Linked DNA regions of Arabidopsis thaliana. Each later gene encodes a partner of the first gene's protein in a complex. Each region holds a gene or a part of one and is shown in the gene's direction. Other genes may lie near its edges.

What was found.
Region 2: HCAR (region 1) and PPH share a complex: the UniProt entries of both Arabidopsis thaliana proteins name them as parts of the SGR1-CCE-LHCII complex.
Region 3: HCAR (region 1) and NYE1 share a complex: the UniProt entries of both Arabidopsis thaliana proteins name them as parts of the SGR1-CCE-LHCII complex.

The regions. Positions count from the first base shown.
Region 1 is NC_003070.9:1,281,277-1,288,763, reverse strand, and holds HCAR (coenzyme F420 hydrogenase family / dehydrogenase, beta subunit family), read left to right. Parts: upstream 1-2,144; 5' UTR 2,145-2,271; coding exon 2,272-2,353; intron 2,354-2,762; coding exon 2,763-2,868; intron 2,869-2,960; coding exon 2,961-3,045; intron 3,046-3,136; coding exon 3,137-3,248; intron 3,249-3,394; coding exon 3,395-3,479; intron 3,480-3,583; coding exon 3,584-3,625; intron 3,626-3,759; coding exon 3,760-3,838; intron 3,839-3,922; coding exon 3,923-3,974; intron 3,975-4,073; coding exon 4,074-4,136; intron 4,137-4,310; coding exon 4,311-4,408; intron 4,409-4,485; coding exon 4,486-4,521; intron 4,522-4,601; coding exon 4,602-4,663; intron 4,664-4,767; coding exon 4,768-4,795; intron 4,796-4,890; coding exon 4,891-4,970; intron 4,971-5,055; coding exon 5,056-5,125; intron 5,126-5,223; coding exon 5,224-5,281; intron 5,282-5,441; coding exon 5,442-5,506; intron 5,507-5,601; coding exon 5,602-5,696; intron 5,697-5,804; coding exon 5,805-5,895; 3' UTR 5,896-6,601; and 1 more. Other genes in the region: AT1G04625 (Polynucleotidyl transferase, ribonuclease H-like superfamily protein), read left to right, coding at 1-532, 844-933; YUC3 (YUCCA 3), read right to left, coding at 7,433-7,487. UniProt on the Arabidopsis thaliana protein: Probable iron-sulfur flavoprotein that converts 7-hydroxymethyl chlorophyll a to chlorophyll a using ferredoxin as a reducing equivalent. Catalyzes the reduction of a hydroxymethyl group to a methyl group. Belongs to the chlorophyll catabolic enzymes (CCEs).
Region 2 is NC_003076.8:4,450,985-4,457,028, reverse strand, and holds PPH (pheophytinase), read left to right. Parts: upstream 1-2,320; 5' UTR 2,321-2,517; intron 2,518-2,668; 5' UTR 2,669-2,721; coding exon 2,722-2,781; intron 2,782-2,878; coding exon 2,879-3,514; intron 3,515-3,857; coding exon 3,858-4,084; intron 4,085-4,184; coding exon 4,185-4,376; intron 4,377-4,475; coding exon 4,476-4,632; coding exon of another isoform or gene 4,633-4,638; exon of another isoform or gene 4,639-4,714; coding exon 4,715-4,966; 3' UTR 4,967-5,294; downstream 5,295-6,044. Other genes in the region: AT5G13810 (Glutaredoxin family protein), read right to left, coding at 436-1,260. UniProt on the Arabidopsis thaliana protein: Alpha/beta hydrolase dephytylating specifically the Mg-free chlorophyll pigment (pheophytin), yielding pheophorbide. No activity on chlorophyll. Belongs to the chlorophyll catabolic enzymes (CCEs).
Region 3 is NC_003075.7:12,015,872-12,021,300, reverse strand, and holds NYE1 (non-yellowing 1), read left to right. Parts: upstream 1-2,657; 5' UTR 2,658-2,694; intron 2,695-2,766; 5' UTR 2,767-3,331; coding exon 3,332-3,472; intron 3,473-3,589; coding exon 3,590-3,763; intron 3,764-3,957; coding exon 3,958-4,125; intron 4,126-4,201; coding exon 4,202-4,525; 3' UTR 4,526-4,838; downstream 4,839-5,429. Other genes in the region: PYR4 (pyrimidin 4), read right to left, coding at 101-292, 374-534, 621-737, 819-984, 1,054-1,190, 1,306-1,487, 1,680-1,828, 1,957-1,986. UniProt on the Arabidopsis thaliana protein: Magnesium chelatase involved in chlorophyll a degradation in the chlorophyll-protein complexes of photosystem I (PSI) and photosystem II (PSII). Contributes to the degradation of PSI and PSII in the thylakoid membranes.

The DNA.
Region 1 (7,487 bases):
CGCCAAAGAATGGCAAGATGCAGAAGAGTACACCCACCGTTTATCATCAAAACCTGACAGAGTAACGTCACAAGAACCAACAGCTAATCTCTGGACAACACCCCCTATTGGTTGGACGAAATGCAACTATGACGGCACTTACCACAGCAACGCTCCGAGTAAAGCGGGTTGGCTCTTACGGGATGATCGAGGAACCTTTCTAGGTGCAGCTCATGCTATAGGCTCTATTACTACCAATCCGATGGAAAGTGAACTCCAAGCTTTAGTCATGGCCATGCAACATTGTTGGAGTAGGGGCTATAGGAAAATTTACTTTGAAGGTGACAATAAAGAAGTCTCAGAGATTGTCAATGGTCGGTCTTCAAATTTTGCAGTTTTTAATTGGATAAGAGATATAAGCGCTTGGAGATCAAAATTTGAAGAATGCAAGTTTACTTGGACAAGGCGATTTTCAAACATGGCTGCAGATGCTCTGGCAAAACAACAACTTCCTTTGAACACTCAGTTTTATTGCTATAACTATATCCCGTTTGTAATAACTGATTTTTTACATCGCGACTTTGCTACAGCAAATTATTAATAAAGCTGATGTTTGAGGAAAAAAAAAAAAACTACAAGATCAAACCCTAGTTCCTCCGATGAAATTGCGGTTAGAAAACTAAATATTGATTGACCTAATTCAAAGAGACCTTTTTTGTGCAGAAACTAAATATTAAAAATCCAAGGTTCCAAGAGATCAAATAGGAATTTAAGCGAGAAGCAACATACCTGAGTCTCGTGACAACGGCGCGTGGTTTGCGTCAATACTTGGGACTCTCGGTGAGATCCGCCATGATTTGCTAGAGAGATCGTGAAACGCAAGAAAACAGAGAGACAAACGGTGGCGAGATCATTGATGGTGTGATCACCGAGTTACAGTTCCGACGGTTCTGACGGTGGTGAAAATGGATGGTGATCATCGAGCTTTGACGTTCTCGTGATCGGTGAGTTCTTTTTGTAAGAGAGGAACAGAAACAAACAGAGGCTAAAAAGACAAAAGAAGAAGAAGAAGGTGGATTTTTTGTTTTCTTCTCGTAATCCATGCTTTGGACCTTGTATCAGCCACTTATGATCATTTGCTATATTGATGCTTTCCAATTTTAGAGTATTGAAATGGGTTTCTTTGACAATCATTTTGAGTTAGTCATCATTCCTTGTTCTGAATCAAGAATTGGCTTTTGTTATGTTGTCTAGGTTCTGCTTGTAACTAGAGTAATGCTATTGTAGTCTCTGTTGTTTATTTGTAGAATCATAGAGAGTCGTGGAAGCATGTTTTAGTTGTTACTCTCGATTTCTTGTCGATGTTGTGGTGTTATAAATTGAGCGTTTTAACCAATACAAGTTAGGAGATGGTTAGTATGTGACTATGTGTTAGTGGCCATGTATGTAGTTCGATCAGATAATCTGAATGATGTGCTAAAGAGCTTGCATAGGAAGACTGCCTTTGTGTTAGCTTGCATAGAGACTTGTTGCAATATATGAGACTGAAAACTATTATGTGAAAACTTTAATTTGTGTACAAATATTTTTAACTCTTAAAATTAAACTAACATTGTACCAATTAGCACATGAAAGAAACACAGAATTCTGTGAACATATGATGAATAACTATATAAACACATTATGGATTCAGTTAAGGAGACAGAAACAAGAAGATGAATTTCAGATATATAGCAATAGAGTCACTTATAATCATATCAGAGCTTATACTTTATACAAATTATCACTTTAGTCCTTAAATTAAAACCGATTTAATCGACAATCTTGTTATTCTTTAAAACAATTTGTTCTTATTTTCAATCTTTAAATTTTGCAACAATCGACAGAACTTATCGTTATTCCGTGTTTTTATTTTCATATCTTTCTTAAAATGTTTCAAAATAATATATGTTTAATATTTTCTGATTTACAATAGTTATTAAGTTATATGAAATATAATTATTTTAAATTTTATTTTATTTTTCAGAAAACTCTTATAAGAGAGCTTACCATTAGAATATGAAAAAAAATTAAAACTCTCTTATAACTTTTTAAAAATTTTAATAATAAAAAAATGGAGAAAGCCCGTGAAAGAGCTCTTACGAACCAAAACCATTCAGTCCGGTTAAGAATTGGTTATCAAGTTTGGTTCCTAAAAGATATCCAAGTTCAAAAGCAAAAAAATATCTTCTTTTCTCTCTCTCTACTCTCTTCTCTTCTTCTCTTCTTCTCTTCTTCTCTGGCTGGGCAACCATGATTACTGTCGTCACCTCCAGGCTCTCTCTCCTTCCTCCAGTCTTCTCCGTCGTTAACTCTTCTTCTTCGCGTTCCAAAGGTGCTCAATTTATTTCTGCCACGTCTTCTCTTTATAGCACTCTGTTTTACACACGTCGTTGATTCTTCAGTTTTTTAAAAGACCCGTCTTATACAAAATTTCAGTGTAACCGATCCCTGAAATTCGTTAAAGGGATGAAATTTTATCTAAGATTCGGAGTTTTCTTTTCGAACATAGTGGTAATGTTTGTCGAATGCTTGATTTGGTCTTCCACAGCTGTCACTATCGAGTTTGAAGATAGAAATCTTGTGTTAACTTAGTATGTATTACTGCATAATGTCAATTCTGTTTGAAAGCATCAGAATTTCGGAACAGATTTTTGTTTCGTATAGCATCGATCTTTGTCTTGTGTGTTTTTATCTTCTCTCTGAAGCCTGCATGAACCCTTCTCTTATGGCTTTAATTGCAGATATGAATCTAGAGCCAAAAAAGAAGGTTAAATTAAGAGAAGACTGGAGAGAAAAGTCCAGACCTATCCCACCCGGAGGAACCTATCCAGCTAAAGACCATTGCAGGTTTTTTCTTTCTTTTTTGTTTGTTTGTTTGTTTACCTCACTATTTTTGTCTCATTCTTATCAAGATCCTTGGTGTTCTGATGGGTTTGCAGTCAGTGCGGGCTATGCGACACCTACTACATTGCCCATGTGAAGGAGGCATGTGCATTTCTTGGAGATGGAATGTCAAGGATTGAGGTAATGTCCATATAAATGGATAAGATTTGATACTCTTTTTAATTGATGGGCTAAGATTCTTATTTTGTTAATATTTTAAGTTCTTGTGCAGAGCTTGGAACCTGTTGTGCATGGTAGAGGAAGGAAAGCAGATTCCTTACAAGATACATATTTTGGGGTGCATCAAGAGCAGCTCTATGCTCGTAAGTTGAAGCCTGTCGAAGGTAAATAGACACTTCCCTTCCACTGTTCCACATTTTCTACTAACTTCTTTTCCTGGCTCAATCTAAGCTAGGGCACTTTTGTGTCTCGTTCAAGATGAATTTAGCTTAGCTTTGTTGTTTACTTTTCATTCTATTTTCGGTTGCAGGAGCTCAGTGGACTGGAATTGTCACAACCATAGCCATTGAGATGCTGAAATCTAATATGGTTGAAGCTGTCGTTTGTGTGCAGAGGTAAAACTACTGTTGAATTTCAGAAATGGACTAGGCTTACATTTATCGACCATGCTGTAGATTTTTCCATCTATCCATGTAACTGATTTATTGAAATATTACAGTGATCCTGAAGACAGATTATCTCCAAGACCAGTATTAGCCAGGTTTTCCACCTTCCTAATGTGGTTTATTTTGAGTCCATTCTTCTTCAAGTCGCCATTTTTTAGATGTGGATCCATATTTTGCTGTTACTCTGGATATAGAAGCGTATTGATGTTTCATTTCTTTTCATTCTAAGGACACCTGAAGAAGTTTTGGCTGCAAGAGGTGTCAAGCCAACTCTGTCTCCTAATCTGAATACTCTTGAATTAATCGAGGTTATTTGCCAAACCCTTATTTCTTGTTTGTGTTTTCAATCACTGAATCCATTTCACATGAACTTAGAATTTGTATTGTAACAGGCTTCCGGAGTGAAGCGTCTTCTGTTTTGCGGTGTGGGTTGCCAAGTGCAAGGTATGGGCTCAACATACTTTTTTGTGGACGTATATTTCAAGTTTCTCCATATCGTGACTCTCATAGTATTGTAATGCAGAGTGATTTCTTATACTGCAGCATTGAGATCAGTGGAGCAGCATCTGAATCTGGAAAAGTTGTATGTACTAGGCACCAATTGTGGTATTTTCCTCATCCTATCTAGATTTGTTTTTTCTCCAGAACTTTCACAACTAGTTCTTGTGTTGTACTTTTGAACATTCCATGTTGTATATGTTATTTCGGAGTCTTGTATGCTTAGGTCTAGAAATGCTTATACATTTTTAAACAAGTAAAAAGAACATCTTTGATTAATAGTGGACAACGGAACACGAGATGGACTAGACAAGTTTCTGAAAGCAGCTAGTAAAGAGCCAGAGACTGTTCTCCATTATGAATTTATGCAAGATTACAAGGTTAGCATTAATACAAAACCATCACTTATCTGTGCATTTTCTTTGGTGATGCCAATCTTGTTCAATTTCTCTTATAGGTCCAACTCAAACACTTGGATGGACACATTGAAGAGGTAAATTCGCTTAAAATACTGTGTTGCTCTGCAATTGCAGCTGAAAGCCGTTTTTAAAAAACTTTTTTTGGCTAAAGCAGGTTCCCTATTTCTCTCTACCTGCAAACGATTTAGTAGATGTCATAGCTCCATCGTGTTACAGGTAATACAAGTCTCTGCATTGTCTCTATACCTTGAAATAGATAACCTGTCGGAAATTTTTAAAACTTGTCTACAATTACAAACCCTATCTTTTTTATTCTGCAGCTGCTTTGATTACACAAATGCATTAGCGGTGAGTGTTTCTCTAGCAATTAAGATGTCTTTTCACTTAATTTTGATTCTGCCAATTTCAAACATTTCCTGATATGTATGAGCTTGTTTATCTAGGATTTGGTTATCGGTTACATGGGTGTTCCGAAGTATTCAGGTCTGAACATGACTGACCATCCACAGTATATTACAGTGAGGTCAATATTTCTACGTATTTTGACATGGACCATATAGGTTCTCGTGGTTGGATAAAATTAGTTTTGTTTATGCCTTAAACCACAGAAATGAACGTGGGAAAGAAATGCTCAGCTTGGTAGAAAACCTTTTGGAGATCACTCCAACAATCAGCAGCGTAAAGTTTCTAACATTTATATTTGTTGTTATATTTAAGACTTTAAGAGTCCACTTAACAAATAACATGAACAAACACACCTTTTGTTGTTGTTTCAGGGTGATCGGCGACCTTTTGTGACAGAAACTGTTAAGGCAGACGATGCTGCTAAGTTTGGTATGTTTTCAAACGTATTCGAAACTCTTTTGTTTCTTGAATCGTCTCTGCTTAAAGACATTCAGTTTCAAGCAAAGCTAGATGCCAAAAAGAAAGTTCTCAGCAAATGCATGCAACTAACATTGTGCTAAAGTCTTCTAACTAGTCTATAATTTCTTAGGTCAAGGTCCTGCTCAGCCAGCGCCACTATTTGTTGGAAACATTATTGCGTTCATCCTAAATTTGGTAAGATTATTTCCTTATGAACACAAACCGAGAAACAAGCTCATTGCATAAAAAGTCAAAGAGTTTCTTAACTTGCAAAACCATTCTTGCTTCAGGTTGGTCCTAAGGGTCTAGAATTTGCTCGGTACTCGTTGGACTACCATACCATCAGAAACTATTTGTACGTAAACCGCAAATGGGGAAAGCAAAGGTAAGATCTGAAACACACTCCTAGAGATAAAAGTTTATTGCGATCAACTGTGTATTTCTATACTATTGGATCGTTCTCTAATGACCAAAGCTGCATTACCATCTACAGAGCAAACACCCACATGCCATCATATGCCAAAAAGATAGTGGAAATGTACAACAAAAACGGCCAAATAGATAAAATGCTCTCCAAGAAATGAACATTTTAGGCCTTTCTCATGTAAGTTTCCAAATGTATATTTCATCCTACAAGTGAGTAAATGTACATTGGTCCTACTGTTTCTCAACTTGTAGTATGTTAGTAATATCCAAAACTATTTCCCTCGTGAATTTGGTAAGACACCGGCAAGAAAAGATGGGTCGGTTTGGTGTTTTTTGGCAGAGAACAGAGAATAAGAAACAGTCTAAATCAGCGGCTGAATCCAAATCAACCCATGTGGGTTCCTTCCTCCATATCTTTAGGTTAAGGTGATGTCCGAGTAAAAGGTTGCAGGGTTTTGCATGAGAACATGAATAACTGTTTTAAGAGGATGGGAACCAGACATTTACACAGTTGGGGGGAATTAGCTTTTAATGTCTTTTTTTTGCTTGGACAAAGAAGAAGGAACCATGGTTAAGCTTCACTCGCTCGCTCACTCACTCACTCACTCACTAACTTACTCATCACCATATTTCACACATTGGAAACTTCAAATTTTACTCTCTCTCTTTTTTTCTTTTTTTGTCTTTTTGTTAGTCAAGTCTCTGCTCTGCTCGTTCAATGACTTTGCTGCAGAGACTCTCAGACCTCAAGTGAAACTCATAAATGTCTCTGCTCTTTTGCACCATAGTTGATTTTTTCTCACCAGAGGCATTGTCCTAATACAGAGCATGTAAACGTTTTTTCTAATAATATATTTAAGTGAAATAAAGCTTACTTTGGTACCTTGAATTAATTTTGAGTTGCAATTTGACATATAACAATGTTAGAGAATTCATTTACGTATTGCATATTTTGGATCTGTATCTGTATCTGTTTCAGTATATATATATTTATAACTAGATCCAACATCATATATAATATATGATTTCACTCAAGTTTTTCTGAGAAAGTTGTATAATGTTATATTTATTATCCATCTGTGTTTCAAATTAGATACATTGTTCATCCCTAATGGATTTTGCATATCCTACAGAAATGCATGTTTCAGTATTTTCAACTTGTGTTCCCTGGAGGTTGTAATCCATGAAACAACTTTAATATGGACTGTCCAAGACAATCATGTGTAAATCAATCATTTGCCAAATATAATGATTACAAAATGGCTAATAATTCCTTAATCAGTTAAATAACAGCTCTAACTTGTGAGAGTATTCTTCCAATAATGAAACAGCATGAAATTAGTTGTTTCTTTTCCTGATCAACAACATCATCATAGAGATAACACAACATGCATCGTTGAGAAAAGAATTACAAAACCGTAAAATATATTTGTCATATTAGATTAAGCAAAACTTCTTACAAGAGTTCAAAATCTAAAATGAAGATTTAAAAAAAATACAACAACAAAATAAAGCACTCTTAAAATAAAAATACATAAAAAAGCCACATCTTCCTAAAAAAACAAAGAAAAATCCCCCTATTATTTTTTTCTTTTCACAATTCTCTTTTTTTTGGGGGTATTTTCTTCCGAGGAGAGGGCTTAATTATCTTCTTCTTTTTTTGAATATTTTTTTCCCTAAATTTGATAATGATGATTAGAAATGTGAAATACAACGACGATGACGAGCAGCAGCAGTTTTCTTCTGTTGC
Region 2 (6,044 bases), on another chromosome or scaffold:
CAAGTTGTCATAAAAAGACGATCAAGCGAGTAGAACCACCCAATTACTGTCGTAATCAACAAGATGCCCATAAACACACGAAATATTTACAATCAAATATATAGCATAAGAACACAGTTGTCTTTCACAACATTGACACACAAGAGTCAAAATGCTTACTACCCGTTTCAGACATTTTGATTACACAATTACATTTAGCCCTTAGTAGCAAACACATACATAAACTAAATCCACGATCACCGGCATTCCCATTACCGTTGATCGCAAACCTTAAAAAACCCAAAGTGAAATGCTGCTGATCCAAAAGAGATTTTCGGATACTTGTGGCAGCATCATTCACTGTTCTACACAACAATGGAAACATCAAAAGAGAAATAAATACCTCTTTTTTCTTCTTTTTTTTAATGGTTTTTTCAGGTTCATTGATGATATATCTCAAGAAGAGCAATCAGGACAACGTATCAATCCATTCTCATTGCATTCAGGACATCTCTTGACCCTATCTTCATCCTCATCAAACAGTTTCTTGCTGCCACTACAATTGGAACACGGAACAAATCGAATGTCCCCACAGCAATGGCAAACAAACCCTGGTTGTCTCATTGGAAACTCTTTAAGAATCTTAGCAAGCTCACCAATCTCAAACAAACTCTTGATCACATCAGCACCACCAACATACTTGCCCATAATGAAAACTTGAGGCAAAGACACAGACTTCTCTCCCATTGCAATCTGCAACTCTTTCCTATAAGCGATATCCATGGAGACGTCGCGCTCATCGATCCAAACCCGAAACCCTCTAAATATCATTCTGACAGCATAGCAATCCTCATACGTCCGTCTAATCCCTCTCAAGCTAGTAAAATACACCACAATCCTGTCCTCTGTCCCGGGAAGACGGATGACCGAGTTGTTTAAGCTCGAAAAAGGCGATATCCGCGATTCGGGTAAAAGGGATTTACCGGATTTCTGCTTCTGAGGAATCTCAGCTAAGGCAGGTTTAACGGGTTTGGAAGTCTCGAATAATCTACAAAGGTTTTTGACTTTGCCTTTAAGAGAAGTTCCCATCGATTCTACGGGGGTGTAGAATTTGGTAATGGAGGTGGTACGATTGAGAGAAGGATTGAGATTGTGGGATTTGGGGCCCGAATCCACCACTGTTCTTCCGTGAATTGTAAGCGACCTGTTGAAGAACGACGTCGTTGTAGCCGATTTCGTCGTCTTCCCTGAGAAATCAGCGTTTTTCTCTAATCCCGCCATCGAAATTAGATCAAAGAAGCACCCCTTTCGACGGCTAATTTGGTGTAAAACCTAAAATAGTCAACAAAATCAAAACCCTAGGATCAAATTCAAGCAAATTGACGAATACAGAAAGAGAAATTGAAAAACATAAATTGAATAATCGTCGATCACCTCCCAAGGAAGAAATGGAAATTGGAATGATTGGAAAAGAATCAGCTTCTCTGATTTGAGTCGTAAAACGATCGGGTGCTGCGTTTTTGAGCTGATGAATTCTCACCTAAGATTAAAGAAGACGAGATTGATGAAAGAATGATCTGATTTTTCTGGAAATTTGGGGGTTTGTTTGTGTTTTGGAAGAAGATGTGGAGGAGAGCTCCGAATTAGCCTTTTGTCTGTCTGCCTTTGTTGCAAAGCAAAGAATTTTTCTGTTTTTTTTTTAAAGATATAATTATTATGTCTAAGTTATTAAAGGCTCTTTAATGATATATTTACTCGATGCTCCTTCGAGGAAAAACGAATTTGAAAAAATAACAAAAGTGGGATTAAATTGCGAGGAAAAGTCGTTTACTGGTAAAACGCGGTTGTCTTATTAAGAAAGGTTATGGTTACAGCGAAACCAGTTTCTACGGTCGGTTTATTGCTATTGATTCTACGCTCGGTTTAGAGATAGTTGTCTGTATTCTAATTGAAGAGTAGTGTATTTCGCTTTCTAGTCTTCGACCATTAGGATTTTTAGTTCACACAAGATCAATTCTCTAACATTTAAAATCAACTAGAAAACTCAAATAACACCGTTAAAATAGTGATTAAACCATTCAAAAATTAAACGGGTTTTATATTGTTTGATATGAAAACTGCAGGTTTTTCGATTGTTTTTTTTGTTTTCCGATTGTTACACAATGGAAAAGAAGATCAAAAATCAATTGTTTTTAAAAAAAATATTATTCTGTCATATTTTTGCAACAAACATGTGTTTTTGCAATGTTACATCGGTGTCAAATTAGCAATGTCAGATCCAAAACAAAATGTCATATTGTGAAAAAAATAACCCTACACTTAATAATACAGTATGAATTTTGGATCCTTTAAGAAAAAATAAAAACTCGATAAAAACGTTGCTGTCGGTTTGCACCGAACGATTGAAGTTAACCAAGCCAGCAAGCAACCCAATTCTTCTATTTCTTCTTCACCTTTAGATTTTTCCTCGCTTAATTTCTCAATAACGCTCTCAGAGAGACCATTTGATGAAGCTTCTCGCTTCTGGAATTTGAAAAGGTACAAGTTGCAACTCTCTCTTTTCTTTCTTTTCTTCCTGGGTTTATTATATAGCTGGAGTTCTTTGTCGATGAATCGGGTGGTGTTGTTGTTGTTTGGTTTCAATTTGATAGAAGATTGGCTTGACCTTGATTTGCTTTGTTTTGATTAGGATTTGATAAGACGAGTTCATAGAAGATTACCGCAAGTTCATCAACTTTTTGTATGTGGTTTCAGCTTTTGAAGCAAAATTCTGATAACTATACAAAGATTCCAGCTTCATATGTGATTTTCCTTGTTATTCTTAGCTTTGCTATGAAGTTGAGATATATGAGTGGAAAATTCGTATTAAAGGATATGCCTTTTGGTTGTTCATTTGCAGGAACTTGTTATGGAGATAATCTCACTGAACGTTGTGCCCCAGTGCTCTGTGGTTACTTGGAGTAGTAAATTAGCAACGAAAAGATTGGTCCCAAATCGGTCAAGTTTGTTATTCTCAGGGGTCAAAAAATCCAGACTTGTGATTCGAAGTGGAAATTCCGATGGTTATGTTGTTGGTGAGAATGATGACTTGGGTCGTATAGCCAGAAGAGGAGAATCAACGTCAAAGGTTTTGATTCCTGGTTTGCCTGATGAATCAAATGGTGAAATTGCTGCTCGAATCAGTCATTCTCACTGCGAGTGGAAGCCCAAGCTTAGAGTACATTATGAGAAAGCCGGTTGTGACAATCTCGATGCTCCTGCGGTGTTGTTTCTTCCTGGCTTTGGCGTTGGTTCATTTCACTATGAGAAGCAGCTTACCGATTTGGGAAGGGATTATCGAGTATGGGCTATTGATTTTCTTGGACAGGGTTTATCTCTCCCTACTGAAGATCCTACTACCATGACTGAAGAAACCAGTTCCTCGGAAGATAAGGAACCATTTTGGGGATTTGGTGACAAAACTGAACCGTGGGCTGATCAACTTGTATTCTCTCTGGATCTCTGGAGGGATCAAGTTCAGTATTTTGTAGAAGAGGTTAGCAATATCTGAGTTCAGTTGTTCTATTACTCTTTAAGCTGTTGATTTTGTTCTTTTAGTCGTAATTTCAAAAGCAGTGTGTTAGCTTTTTTTTTTTAGTGTAGATTGTTGCTATGTGTCGTATACTCATGGATTTCAATAGTTTTCAGCTCAGAACCTGAAAGTGTGGGTATGGAGTCTTCTGGTGTTGCTTTGGGAATGGGAAAGTTTAGGATGCACTAGATATTAGAATTCATCTCTGTTCTTTGATTCCGTTTGTGTTCTAGTTTGAGATCACGATCTTTTTCATCTGAAATAAGCTGCTGAGTCGGTAAGAGTATGTGGTATTTGTGTTGTACAGGTTATCGGTGAGCCTGTGTACATTGCAGGGAACTCACTTGGAGGGTATGTAGCTCTCTACTTTGCAGCAACCCATCCTCACCTGGTTAAGGGTGTTACCTTGCTTAATGCAACACCTTTCTGGGGTTTCTTCCCTAATCCAGTAAGATCCCCAAAGCTAGCACGTCTCTTTCCATGGCCCGGAGCATTCCCTCTGCCGGAAAGAGTGAAAAAAATCACAGAATTGGTGTAAGGGAGACTTTATTAACACATCTCCTCACCTGAAAAGTATCATTTTCTATTTCTATCTCTATCAGTCTAATATCTTTACTTCCCAATGAAACTGCAGGTGGCAAAAGATAAGTGATCCTGAAAGCATAGCTGAGATACTTAAACAGGTCTACACAGACCATTCTATCAATGTGGATAAAGTATTCTCACGTATTGTGGAGGTCACACAGCATCCGGCTGCTGCAGCATCGTTTGCTTCAATCATGCTTGCTCCTGGTGGAGAGCTATCTTTCTCCGAAGCTTTATCTAGGTATAAGACAGTGTGGTTTCTTGTTTTTATATGTTTTTTACTCTGCGTGATTGGTGTTATTGCTTATGAGGAATGCTGCTATTTGATGGTTTATGCTAGGTGTAAGGAAAACAATGTTCAGATATGTCTCATGTATGGAAGAGAAGATCCATGGGTGAGACCGTTATGGGGAAAGAAGATAAAGAAGGAAATCCCCAACGCTCCATACTACGAGATCAGCCCAGCGGGTCACTGCCCACACGATGAAGTCCCTGAGGTATAATGAACTAGTCAATAAATTCTTCAAACTCTGCAATTAGGTATAATGAACCCACCATTTGGGATATGAAAACGAGCAGGTGGTGAACTATCTGATGCGCGGGTGGATCAAGCACCTGGAGTCTGGTGGTTTTGAAGCGCTCCCGCTTTTGGAGGACACTGAAGAAGATTGGGAGGAGTCCAGGATTGGTAGAGAAATTGAGTTCCCGAGAGATGGTTGGAAAAAAGCAGTGAATCTGTGGTTATATGGGTCAAACTATACGTACTGGAGAGGAGTTAGAGAATCTTTCAGATCCAGTTTTATAAGGGTGTTTGGAGGGAAGTCTGCATAGAAGAAGCATGGAACAGTCGTCTAGTGTAAATTAATTGTAATCTATGTTGCATCCGATGCTAGCTATATAATGTTGTCTGTAGAATCAAGTTTCTAAAATGTTCAAAAGGAAAAGTTAGAAAAATATCTACTTGATAGTTAGTCACCTAAATCGAAGGAACTCCTTTCTTGCATTGTTGTATATAATCCACAGGTTCAGATTAATATAGGAAGGCGACATTGCAGGCCATATGAGTTGTCTTAAAAATTGGAAGAGAGCTTGAAATTACTCTGATTCCAAAAGAAGAAAGTGAGTGTATTTGAATTGTTAATAATTTCCAAAGGTGAACAGTTTTATTGAACATGTATGGTGTTTGAAAAGACGTATCATTGGTTACTTTTCTCGAGGCAAAGTCGTATCCTTGACCATATTCTTCCCTTAGCTTGAATCTCATTTTTGTCAGTTCCACGGTCAACAAATAAGGGACTGAATTAGAAGGCTATCCAAACCACTTTTGAGAAACTTACTTACACAGGCTATATATCCAACATGAGATTTGGTCTGCTTCTTTTCTTAATTTGTTTCTTAGTCTCTGATAAAATCTCGTTATCTATTTATTGATTTGAGTGTCAAAAAAAAAAAACCGGTGTTACAAAGCTGCTACTAAAGTGTCGTTCTACACTAGTTGTAAGAAATTACTTCTCAGTATGTTTTTTTATCTCTCACTAGTTGATAACATAATGGTAACCATCAAACAATGCTAGTTGTTGCAATTTTATTCTTGGGGGTACTTTGAAATTGTTTCTAATTGTTGCTCTGAACTTTTTTTTATTTTTATGTCGGTCAACATTGTTGGTCTGATTTATGTCTTACAACAACATTAAAGAGAAAATACACTAGTACTAATAAATCTAATTTTAAAGGGAAGGAAAAAAGAGGAAAGAAAAAAACAACTTTAGGAAGAAAAGGGAAAGTAGGACCCAGAAGAACTGACAAAATCCTCCAAATGTGGCAAAAAGGTATCATGCAAAAAACCCTAAAATTGAAAAAAGAGAGCACGCAAAACAGTGGCCATGCAACACACAACATTCATTACCGA
Region 3 (5,429 bases), on another chromosome or scaffold:
AAAAATGCAGGGCATAACTCAGCCGTAAGAAAATTCAATCCAAAAGGTACACGAGTTCACTTATTTGGGAGAAAAAATTTGACAACTTCAAATCACCACATTATTTCAACGGTTGCCATTGAAGGGTTTCTCCAGCAAACATAGGGACGATCTCTCCGAATGGGAAGTTGAAAACGTCTGGAACCTTCCAAGGAGATTTCTTCAGTGTGATCTTTGACGAGTTTCTCGGAAGGCCATAGAAATCAGGTCCATTGAAACTGGTGAAAGCTTCCAACTTGTCCAGCGCACCCGCCTGAATGTTAAAGAAGTTAAAGTTATGAACATAAGGAATCACAAACCGGGAAAGTAAACTGTTTGAAGTTACACAGTTTACCTCATCAAAGACCTTGGCGTATAGGGACAAGGCAATGGGAGCGCTGTAAATACCAGCACATCCGCAGGATGATTCTTTTCTACTCCGTTCATGTGGAGCACTATCTGTGCCGAGGAAGAACTTCTTGCTTCCACTAGTTACAGCTTTGACAATGGCTTCTCCTGTACAATGAAGTAAAAGCAATGATCTTCCGAAAGCTGCTGAAAAAATGAAATATTAATGTTCAAAAGGAAAGTGAAGAACATACTATGTATTTCTCTTTTGAGAACGGGAAGACAGTAGTTGTGAGGTTGTAATCCACCTTGGAAAAGGGCGTTCCTGTTGAGAAGGAGATGTTGTGGTGTGACTGTTGCACCCACAGACCCTATAATCAACAAAATGTTATGAGCTATGCAGATTAACAAAAACCAAAAGACAAGAAATGAAAATAAGATAGTAACAAAACCTTCTTTGCAAGATTCAACAAAATTCACAGCATCCATGGTTGTGATGTGTTCCATCACTACTTTCAGCTGCGGAAGGCGTTGGATTAGAGGCTGCAGAACTGTCTCAATGAAGATTTTCTCGCGGTCAAAGACATCGATACTCGGATCTGTGACCTCCCCATGAACCTAATCAAAACATTCCTCAGACAAGACAAAGACAAAAATACAAGTCTATGTGGTGTATGATTTATTTACCAGCAAAGGCATGTTTTGTTTGACCATCTCTTCTAGTACCGGTAAGCATTTTCCAAAGAGATCCGTGACACCATCTTGAGAGTTGGTTGTTGCTCCGGCAGGGTACAGCTTCACCGCATAAACCACACCACTTTCCCCTAATAACAAGATCATATATGCATAAACTGAACATTAGCAAGTAGAATCTCAATCAGAAAGATGAAAATGTATCTGATTAGTTTGCAACAAGATGGAGAAAGCACAGGTACTTACTTGCAAGCCTGATCTCTTCAGGTAGAGTTTTGTCAGTCAAATAAAGTGTCATAAGTGGATCAAAGCTACTCTCAGATGGCAAAGCTTTCATGATAAATTTCCGGTAAATAATGGCAGCTGCAGTGGAGGTGACAGGAGGCTTCAGATTCGGCATCACAATCGCTCTCTTAAAATTACTCGCACTGCACATAATTACATACACCATTAACCATCATGTACAGCACAAGCATCAACGCCAGCACAAGATTGTGATTGAGGAATTCATACATAACAAACAATGGTTCCACAAGAAACACCAATAGCAAACAAAAAAGTGGCTGCAAAACAAAGTAAAGCAAGGAAAGAAAAGAAAGATTGCAGGATGTTTATAAGACCTGTGGGGAACAACAGCATGAAGAAGATCACCGTCACGGAGATGAAGATGCCAATCATCAGGTTGAGTGATTGTGAGCTCCATTCTTACTGCTCTCGTCTTCACTTTCTCAGAAGATCTGTCAAACTTCAACTTCTGAGATCCAAATCCCTACATAAAGAATAAAATAGTTGACTTTAACAGACGCATAGGAGGAATTAAATAAAATTAAAACTGGATCACGTGGATTGAACTAAACAAGAATAAGACTCAAAGAGTGGTGGAGGTAGAGTACATACACTATAAGGAGAGACCAAAGTCTTTATCATCTGAAAGCTGCTCAAGGCTTTGCAAGAATTCACCTGTTCCAAAGCAAATGACAAGTAGACTCAGATTCTATAACATGACCTTAAAAAATTGACTCTGTTCTAAAGTATTAGCAGGCACTAAAACTATTCAATCATCATCAAAAGATTTCGCATTCCTTTGGTTCAATGTTTCTCCAAACGAAATTTAGTATCCAGATTAATCAAATTTCTATACACACAAATGGGTATCAGCAAAATCCAAAGAAATCAAATTATCCAAACAATAAACCACAAAATGGCGAAACTGGTAAACACCTAGAAACCAAAATCGAAAACTTGAACTTGTTTAGGTAAGCAATACGAACCTGGATAAACGAAATGCACAACAGGGATGCTTACAACACAAACAAAACGAACCCCAAAAAGAGTGATTTGAGGAAGAGATTGAAGGAGAAAGAAGAAGAAAAAACAGTACTCGTGTTTTGTTGTTTACAAGATACGACGTCGCTTAACGTAAAAGAAGAAGAAAAAAATAAAAGCTCTGTAACAGGCCAGCCCAATTTTAGCCCGATATTTTTAATGGACCTGGACCTGATCACAAATTTCAGCCCTTTTTAACATCCTTATGGATCAACATGGGACTCTCTGACTCCTCCGGTTCCATCAATACCTGCGTTTGTTGTCCTTGTTCACGACGATTCAAGCGAAGAAGCCTCTCGAGTTTCACAGGTCTAATAACTAAACCGAGTAATCGAGTCGAATGACATTAAATTGAACCGAAACTAAACCGTATTGCTTTAGGTTCGACTGACAACTACAGTACGTGAGTTAGGTTCGGTTAGAGCCGAATCTGTGTCTCTTTGTCGCAACGAGATGGCTAAAGTTATCCAAAAAGACGGTTAGAGCCAGTTGTTAGCCCCACCATGACGACACATGGGGAAGCTCATGCAAAGATTAGAGAACACGTGGCACTCTCTCGTGTTCAGAAAAATTCCAAAAGAGTGTTCAGATTTGGGCACGGAAGTGTGAAACGTGAAGCAACAATCCCTTTTAAACACAAGAACCAACTCAATACGCATCACAAAGAACCCTAAATTCCTGGAAGATCTCAAAAGGAAAATTCAAAACCAAAGCTTCAAGCAATCATCAAGCAAAGGAAAAGCTCAAATTTTGGGTCTTTTATATATTTATTTCTTAAAGTTACAATCTTTTTGATTGTGGTTTCAGTGTACGAACACGCAAGAACTCGCGTGAAAAAATTGTATCCAAGCTTCGTGAAAGGAGTCTCTCTGTATTTAGTGGCGTTTTGTTCTGTTGTTATTTCTGAAATATTGAAGCTTTTGATTTGGGTTTCAAGAGAGCAGAGATGTGTAGTTTGTCGGCGATTATGTTGTTACCAACGAAGCTGAAACCAGCTTATTCAGACAAACGGAGTAACAGTAGCAGCAGCAGCTCACTCTTCTTCAACAATAGAAGATCCAAGAAGAAGAACCAATCGATTGTTCCCGTAAGGATTTGTTCTCTTAATCATTTTGACATATCTTTGTTTTATGTGTCTCAGTTATGGATATATCTATGCCTCTGTCTTTATTGATGGAACTTGAAACTTTTGGGATCGGTGCAGGTTGCAAGGTTGTTTGGACCGGCGATTTTCGAATCATCCAAATTGAAAGTACTCTTCTTAGGGGTTGATGAGAAGAAGCATCCTTCAACGCTCCCTAGGACTTACACACTCACTCACAGTGACATTACAGCTAAACTAACCTTAGCTATTTCTCAATCCATAAACAACTCTCAGGTAAAAACACCTCTCTCTCTGGTCTTAACATATCTACATGGCTCTGTTTATAGGAGTAGAATGTTTATGTATTTGATTATTTGGAGCAAATATTAGAGGCTTATGTATGATTGTTTTAACCTATGTATGTGTCTATATTCACCAGAATCTCTTAACACTTTAGAGGCTGATATGTATAGAAATGTTTTTTATAGTTGCAAGGATGGGCAAATAGGCTATACCGGGATGAAGTTGTGGCAGAATGGAAGAAAGTGAAAGGGAAAATGTCGCTTCACGTTCATTGTCACATAAGCGGTGGCCATTTCCTTTTAGATCTCTTTGCAAAGTTTCGATATTTCATCTTTTGCAAAGAACTACCTGTGGTAAGTTCCCAAATTCATAAGAAACTTTTTATTGGTTTCATGTAAAACAAAATGTTTATTGTTTTGATATATACAGGTGTTGAAGGCTTTTGTGCATGGAGATGGGAACTTGTTGAACAACTATCCTGAGCTACAAGAAGCTCTTGTTTGGGTCTATTTCCATTCTAATGTCAATGAGTTCAACAAAGTCGAGTGTTGGGGTCCGCTTTGGGAAGCTGTTTCGCCTGATGGTCACAAGACTGAGACTCTTCCCGAGGCTCGGTGTGCGGACGAGTGTAGTTGTTGTTTTCCAACCGTTAGCTCGATTCCATGGTCTCATAGTCTTAGTAATGAAGGTGTAAATGGTTACTCTGGGACTCAGACTGAGGGAATTGCTACTCCAAATCCGGAGAAACTCTAGTGACTAAATATCAAATTACAAGTTTTTCTTTTGGTAGTTTGTACAAAGTGAAAAGGAAATGGCAGGACTTTCCTTTTGGTGGATCTAAATATTGGTTTGGTTTGGTGTACATAATGTGGTATAGGAAAATAATGATTATTTGTAGGTTAAATACAGATTTTAAAGTTTCAAATGGTATTTTGTGTCTACTCTGAAGTCTTTATCATAGTTGTATACTTGTATTGTATCTCATCCACAAGATCAAAATGTAAATTTCTTACAGATTAGCTAATATTAAAGGTGACAGACTGGTATAGTACTACTGCAATGCAAACATAAAGATGAATAAATTGTTGTTTAATGAACATATATATTTTAATATATCAAAACATTCATGAGAATCATCACCAATTTAAAGTTATACTAATATCCCAAATAAGAATAGTTTAGAAATATGAAGATATTCATGAGAATCATCACCAAAGTAACAATAGACGTATATTAAGGACCGAATTCGTCGGTGTAACGGTGAGAAACTAAGGAGAAACGTGAAGGTAAAGAGATGGCAAAAGACTTTGTCTCTCTGGTGGTTTTGCAAAGCGTATCAGCCACTTCTTGCTCCTAATGATTCCAAATTATTTTCTTGGATTTATTTGGTCTCTTTCTTCAATATCTTTTTCATTTTATAACCAAATCAAGATGACTTTTTTTCTCTGACCCCATTCGTCTATCTAATTTACGACCAAATACACCAAATACAGAAAGAGAAGAAGAACAAGTAATATAAGAGAATGGTAACGAATTATTGCATTATTATCATGGGCTTATTTTATAAAATGTTGTGTTCGTAAGTAAATAAATACAAAAGAAACTATATTTTGATATATGAAGAAAAATTGAATAAAGATATACACTTTGGAAAATT